Linked DNA regions of Callithrix jacchus. The protein of the gene in region 1 purifies or fractionates together with the protein of each later gene. This does not show direct contact. Links are inferred from orthologs where the notes say so. Each region holds a gene or a part of one and is shown on either strand. Other genes may lie near its edges.

What was found.
Region 2: the proteins of DNAJA2 (region 1) and LLGL1 purify together in Homo sapiens (co-immunoprecipitation; 3 studies listed by BioGRID and IntAct, with this or other methods). This does not show direct contact. The link is inferred for Callithrix jacchus from reciprocal best matches to the Homo sapiens genes DNAJA2 and LLGL1.

What each region holds. Positions count from the first base shown.
Region 1 is NC_133521.1:4,611,158-4,614,806, forward strand, and holds part of DNAJA2 (dnaJ homolog subfamily A member 2), read right to left. Parts: intron 1,039-3,649; coding exon 842-1,038; intron 1-841. UniProt on the Homo sapiens protein: Co-chaperone of Hsc70. Stimulates ATP hydrolysis and the folding of unfolded proteins mediated by HSPA1A/B (in vitro).
Region 2 is NC_133506.1:82,663,663-82,667,311, reverse strand, and holds part of LLGL1 (lethal(2) giant larvae protein homolog 1), read right to left. Parts: coding exon 3,588-3,649; intron 3,493-3,587; coding exon 3,362-3,492; intron 2,245-3,361; coding exon 2,086-2,244; intron 2,007-2,085; coding exon 1,844-2,006; intron 1,751-1,843; coding exon 1,615-1,750; intron 1,375-1,614; coding exon 1,320-1,374; intron 1,186-1,319; coding exon 1,031-1,185; intron 932-1,030; coding exon 708-931; intron 551-707; coding exon 483-550; intron 1-482. UniProt on the Homo sapiens protein: Cortical cytoskeleton protein found in a complex involved in maintaining cell polarity and epithelial integrity. Involved in the regulation of mitotic spindle orientation, proliferation, differentiation and tissue organization of neuroepithelial cells.

The DNA.
Region 1 (3,649 bases):
CACTTTGGGAGGCAGAGGCAGGCGGATCACGAGGTCAAGATATCAAGACCATCCTGGCCAACATGGTGAAACCCTGTCTCTACTAAAATATACAAAAATTAGCTGGGCATGGTGGTGTACGCCTGTAGTCCCAGCTACTAGGGAGGCTGAGGCCTGAGAATTGTTTGAAACCAGGAGGCAGAGATTGCAGTGAGCCGAGATTGCGCCACTGTACTCCATCCAGCCTGGCGCCTGGCGACAGAGCAAGACTCTGTCTCAAAAAAAAAAAAAAAAATGGTATTTTGAAAACCCAAGAACCCTTTCTAGGATAGCTCACTTGGCTACCCAATAAATAAAAACCAAATCAACAGAGCAGCAGAGTTTCACAGTGAAAACAGGCTGCCTTAGACCATCTGGTCCAATGCCCAATGCCCTTATTTTCATAAACAAAGAAGAAATTGAGACAGAAAGACTACCTACGGTTTCAGTGCTAGTCAATGACCAAGCCAGAGGAGAATCGCTTGAACCTGGGAGGCGGAGGTTGCAGTTAGCAGAGATCGTGCCACTGCACTCCAGCCTGGATAACAGAAGAAGACTCCGTAAAAAAAAAAAAGAAAAAAGAAAAAAAAAAGACCAAACCAGGACTAAAACTGACTCCTACAGTGCTTCTAATTGTGCCTGCTTTGTTAGTCTTTCTTACACAAGCCAGTCTTAGGAAGTCAGCCATGACTTCCTTAACTTCACCAGTGTGCAGTGTTGCTCCAGGGACTCCAAACAGATCTAATCTATTTCTCACAGGCAAGAAGTACTTCTGAATAAAACAAAATATAAAACCAAACAAACTTTAAAAAAGTAAAATCACCTCATGTTCTTTCTCCTGTAGCAACAGAACAATGTCTCCTGGTTCTACTCCTGGGGCCTGGTCTGCTTCCCCAGTGAATGTAATTCTCTGTCCATGTTTCATGCCTTTGTCGACGTGGACTTCAAGAATCTTGACTTCTTTAATCACCTTCTTCCCTTCACATTTTTTACAGCGGTCTTTTTCATTAATTACCTCTCCTGGAAAGAGAAGTCATTGAAACTTTCAGTAACAGTATTATACTGTACTTTTAATATCCTTACTATTTAAATATACTCTCTGAACTTCTTTTAATCGCTATCTAAATTTTTATTCAAAGCAGCATTCTGAGGCCGAGCACAGTGGCTCAAGCCTGTAATCCCCACATTTTGCAAGGTCAGGGTGGTAGGATCACTTGAGCTCAGGATCTGAGACCAGCCTGGCAACAGTGAGACCTTGCCTCTACTACAAATTAAAAAAAATTAGCCGGGCATAGTAGTGTACACCTGTAATCCTGATTACTCGGAAGGCTGAGGAGGGAGGAGCGCTGAAGTCTGAGGTTGCAGTGAGTTATAAACATGCCAATGTACCACAGTCTGGGTGAGTGTGAGACCATGTCTCAAAACAAAACAAAAAAGCACTATTCTGAATAACAGAAACTTGCATCTTACTACTGCAGATTGCCTGAGGGACTCAGCTACCCACTATTTCAGAATGTAATGTATCCATACCATGTTTAGGGCAACATAGCTTTTCTCTTCTACATATTCTTCTGAAATATTTGATTATGGTGTAAAAAAGCAAAACTGTCATTTTACATAGTGTGAAAAAATTGTGTCACTTTCTAATGGCCAATTACTGGCACATTTGAAGGCTTAGAAAGATGTGTATAACTGATTATTAAGGGACTGTTTCTGTAACAGTACTTACATTCTTCAAAACACCAGTTCTTCAAAATGGTAATGGTGGCCGGGCATGGTGGCTCACACCTGTGATCCCAGCCCTTTGGGAGATGGAGGTGGGCAAATCGCCTGAGGTCAGGAGTTTTGAGACCAGCTTGGCCAACATGGCAAAACCCTGTCTTCACTAAAAATACAAAAATTAGCCGGGCGTGGTGGTGTGTGCCTATAACCCCAGCTACTCAGTAGGTTGAGGCAGGAGAATCACTTGATCCCGGGAGGTGGAGACTGTGGTGAGCTGAGATCGTGCTACTCCACTCCAGCCTGGGAGACAGAGCGAGACTGTCTCGGAAAAAAAAAAAAAAAGGTAGTGGTACATGGGAAAAGATTTCAGTCAACTTACGTTTCTTTTCTCTTTTAAAATTCTTTATTTCTCTTGGGTCTCAAACTTTCGTTTCTTCATAGCAGGAGTTGTTAGCAATTTTAATAAAATAAAATGAGACCAAGTGTGGTGGCTAACACCTGCAATCCCAGCACTTTGGGAGGCTGAGGCAGGAGGATCACTTGAGCTCAGGAGTTCAAGACCAGCCTGGGCAAAACGGCAAAACCCCATTTCTACAAGAAATACAAAAATTAGCTGGGCGTGATGGCAAGCAGGGGTGGTCTCAGCTACTTGGGAGTTGGGGGCGGGGGGGGGGGCTGAGGTTGGAAGATTGCTTGAGCATGGGCAGTGGAGGCTGCAGTAAGCCAAGAGTGTGCCACTGCACTCCAGCCCAGGTGACAAGATCATATCTCCAAAAACAATAATTAAAAATAAAGTAAAATGCCAAGATTCTGCAGGAAGGGTAATATCCTATGTAGCTTCTCATAATTATCTCATCACTTCCAAGAACAATTTGGAAAAGGATGCTCTTGAACTGTACTGTACTGCTAATATGGTAGCCACTATCTACCTGTAGCTACTTAAGTTTATGTTTAAATTAATTCAAATTTAAAATAGTTCCCCAGTCACACTAGCCACGTGAAATATGCAGTAGTCACAGGTGATTAGTGGATATTATACTGAACACTGCAGATACTGAACATTTCTATCATCACAATATGGAAAAAATTCTATTGGATAGCACTGCTCTAGAAAGGTGAGGGTGGGGGATGCTACTTGTTTTTACAGATAAGATTTTTCTTTTTTTCTTTTTTTGAGATGGAGTCTCCCCGTCGCCCAGGCTGGAGTACAATGGTGCAGTCTCAGCTCACCGAAACCTCTGCCTCCTGGGTTCAAGCAATTCTCCTGCCTCAGCCTCCCGAGTAGCTGGGATTATAGGCTCCCGCCACCAAGCCTAGCTAATTTTTCGGATCTTTAGTAGAGACGGGATTTCACTACATTGGCCATGCTGTTCTCAAACTCCTCATTTCATGATCCACTCACCACAGCCTCTCAAAGTGCTGGGATTACAGGGGTGAGCCACTTCAGCTGGCCTAAACAAGATTTTAATCAGAACACAGCCACACCCATTTGTCTGTGGCTATAAAAGCACTAAAAGGTCAGAGATCAGCAATTGTAACAAAAACTATTTGGCTTACAAAGTCTAAATTATTTAGTTTTTTAAGGACAGCTTCAATTGCAAAATCAATCCTGAAAAACTAACTAAAGCTTACAGTAAAATCTTCAACTTATCAGAATAACTAAACAATTATTGTTTAGTTACTTATTTGATGATTTGTCCCTTTGTAGTTTAAAAAGTTTTATATGATAAAGGAGATAGTCTTCCCATGGTGGTCATTTCTACAGAAATTAATAAAAGGTTATATTTGATAAAGGAGGAAATAGAAAAGGGACAAATAATCATCTTGCTCCTCTCTTCGGAATTTAAGAGTCACCTTTCACTAACATAATACAAATCTACTGTTTCTCTATGTTCACTGGGCTTAAGCA
Region 2 (3,649 bases), on another chromosome or scaffold:
CAGAGCCAGGGCATGAAAGGTGTGTGACTGGCTGAGACACTCCAGCAACCCTGAAAGCCACAGTAAGCTCTTCAGCAAGGAAGGGCACACCAGAGCCAGAGGCCTGAGGGTCCCAGCACAGGTGGGAGTGGGGGCAGGGCAGGAAGTTGGGGCTTGAGTCACCGGGCACGTCAGTGCCCGCCAGGCCCAGGTTGGGCTCTCTGGCACCTTCCCTGGGTACCTCAGTGTGGGCCAGCCCAGATTTTCCAGTCCCAGGGCAGGCAGGCTGGGTGGGTGGAGCCCTCAGGTTTGGTAGAGCTTAGTTCCAGGCCAAAAGGCAGAGCAGGGCAGCCAGCACCTTGAACCAAGGTCCAGGGAGGTTTCATCCCAATCCACCCTAGGCAATGAGGAACTACCTGGTTCCACCAGGGGCCAGGCCTGAGTCTCCTGGGCTCTCCCCCAACAGCAAGGGGCCCCTCACCCACATACGCATGCACACCTACCCGGTCAGCAGCAGCCCTCGCTGCAACGGCTCCTGGGCTAGGTTCCGGCCCCCAGTGATGGGCCAGCTCTGGGAGGGGGTGGCAGAGATGTGCACACAAGGTTAGGACAAACATCTTCTCCCTCTCATCCCACGCATGGCACATTCTGACCCCCAGGCCTAGAACTGGAACACTCCCCACTCATCAAGACTCCACCCTGCAAGACTCCCCAACCCCCGAACACACCAAGGCACTGGAGACAGGCTGGGGGCTCTGCTGCTCGCCAGCGCTCACTATGCGGGCCCACAGCTTGGCGGGGACATTGGCCACATGGGCCGAGCAGGTGATAGCAGACGAATGCAGTGGGGCCAGGTATGGGGCGGGCACCGCTGGCCAGCCAGGAGTCTGCAGGTCCAACACCACCAGCTCCTCTTCCAGCAGCACAGCCAGCGCTTGGGGGTCATCAAATTCTGTGGGATGGAAGGGCCATGGGGTGAGTGCAGCCACAGGTGGCAAAGGTGCCAGGTGGGGCTGGGAAAGGGTAGGGTAGGGCAGGGCAGGGCACCCACCATCCTCAGGCCGAATACTGTGTACAGTGAAGAAGTCGATGATGCGGGAGGTGAAGTCCAGCGTCACCAATGTCTCAGCTCGAAGCACACTCACACAGTGGCGGTCACCATAGCTGGCACGGGGCATGCCACCACTGAAGATGATAAAGTGGCCCCTGTGTGTGGAGGGAGGTGTGAGAGCCATGAGCCACCTGGTTCTGGAGTACATACTGCATGTCCCAGGCAGAGCCCACCCTTCCAGCCCCCATCGAGACCCAACTCACATCGGACACCCACTCCCTTGACCTACCCAGATTCACAGTTCCGCCACAGAATCTTGTTGATGGCCTTGCAGGGAAAGGGGCCTGGGGGGTGGGACAGCATCAGACCAGACTCGCTGGTGGTTCTTAGCACTTCTGCCATTCCTCTACTGCTCTCTACCTTGCAGCTGCCTCCTGCCTCCCCGGAAAGTCGTGGGGGGTGGGGGAGAGGCACACTGCCCCCAGACCAGGCCCTCAGGGGAGTCACTCCTCAGCCAGTTTGGCTTGGCTCAGTGGTGCCTCCTCCTGTCACCACCCTCTGGCTGAAGCCTCCCCAGCACTCACCGTAAGGTGTGGTGGCCACTGTGGGCTGCAGCATTGGGGAGCTGCCGGTATCCACAGACCAGACAGCGTAGCTGCCATCGCTGTGCGAGCTGACGACAGTGCTGCTGTCACGCCCCCAGCATAGGCTCTCCAGCTGCTGTGGGCAGGTGTGGGCAAACAGGCAGGCATGAGCCATGGTGGGCGTGCACAAGGGTCCCAGGCTGAGGGGACACAGGCCTCACCCACCTACCTGATTCCCCAGGAAGACGTGGTCCGCACACTGTGAGGCCTGGTTCCAGATGACCAGCAGGCCCCGGCTGTAGCCAATGAGAATCTTCGTGGGGTGCCACAGGTGTCCCTGGAGCGACTCCACAGGGCCCAGCGCCTTTCCGCAGCGGTAGTCATCTGGCACGCTGTGAAGAAAGGTGGGTGTGAGCCAGGAGAACCTCCCGGGCATAGAGTGTGTGCTAGGAAGCCCACCAGGCCTCTTACCTGCGCAGAACCTCGCCTGGGGCGAGCGTCTGCCCCTCAAGCAGGGTCAGGGTGGTCACATCCAGGAAGAAGACACTGCTGCCCTCAGTGCCCAGGGCTGCTATGTCGCTGGCAGCCACTAGCAGGACCACTGTGACTCGAGTAAGGCTGGGTGGTACACTGCAGGTAACAAGGGGAAGGGAGTGAGGGTGGGAGCCCATCCACCTGCTGAGGTGGGGTGTGAGGGGCTGGGCCACTGCTGATAACTCATCGCTGGTTCCACAGCACACACTAGGGCCTACTTACAGAGCCACCCCAGGAAGACATGGGTCATAATCAGCCCGCTCAATTATTCATCAGGATGTCAGCAGGGAGACAGATAAAAATAGGCTCCCCAGGTCTTGCAGACTGAGCTCCCAGCTCCTCCCACCCACCAGGAGAGGACAGCAGGAACCAGGGCATTGCCCAAGCCAGGACCAGGAGCTCCTCCCTGAGCCCCACCTAGGAAACGTGCTGCCAACCCTCAGATATCTCCTCACTTCACAGGAGGGCCCCAGATACCCCCATCTGCAGAAGCTGGGAGGCACCAGGAATCCAACCCTGGGTTAGGACTCCCTTATTCCAGCTATTTCAGGCAGGGCTGGGGAGAGGGATGCCCCCTACTCTCACTCAGCTGGGGCATGCTGCCAGCACCTCACCAAACACAGCCCATGGGACCCTCCATGCCCTCAAGCCTGTCCTCTCACCTATGCAGAGAAAGGCCTGTCTCCCACCCACAACTGAGGGGCCAGGGGACTCTTGCTGTTATTTTACTGGCTTAGGCCCTGCCCCAAACCCCTAGATACCCCCATCAATGTAGTAAGTGTAGTGCCAGGCCTCAGGTCCTAGGAGTTTGGCATATAATGCATATACCTCCTGCTGTTCACAATGTTAACTACTTGCTCACCTCGACTCAACCCAAACTTCCCATTTAACCTGAAAAGTTCGCAGAGTACACCTCACTCACATCAGACACCCACTCCCTTGACCTACCCAGATTTACAGTTCCGCCACAGAATCTTGTTGACGGCCTTGCAGGGAAAGGGGCCTGGGGGGTGGGACAGCATCAGACCAGACTCGCTGTCTGCAGGGTCCAACAGCTGCAGCCTAGGACCCAGGCACGGCTCAAGGCACGGCTCCCTGAACCCAGCCCCTGCTAGCAGCTGCCCGTCCCCATGCTGCCTTTACACAGCAGGCTCTCAGAGCCTCCCTGGATCCTCCCCGCCTGGTGGTTGGCCCCAGCCAAGTTCTCCAGTACCTGGCACCATCAAAGCCGGGACGGCTGGGCAGCTGGAAGCTCAGTGCCTCTTCCAGGTGGGCACAGCCATTATGGTGGACAATCTCCCACAAATGCAGGCTGCTGTCATCAAGCAGGGTCAGGAGGCGGCCCTGGTATATGAGCAGAGATGAAAACTGGGCTGGCCTAGGGGAGTGAGTGGATATGGGGGCCACAGGGAGCTGGCCAGTGGGATGCAGAGGCTCACCTGGCCGGGCAAGAAGTGCATCTGTGTGACGGTGGCTGCATCCCGGTGTAGGCCTGTGAATT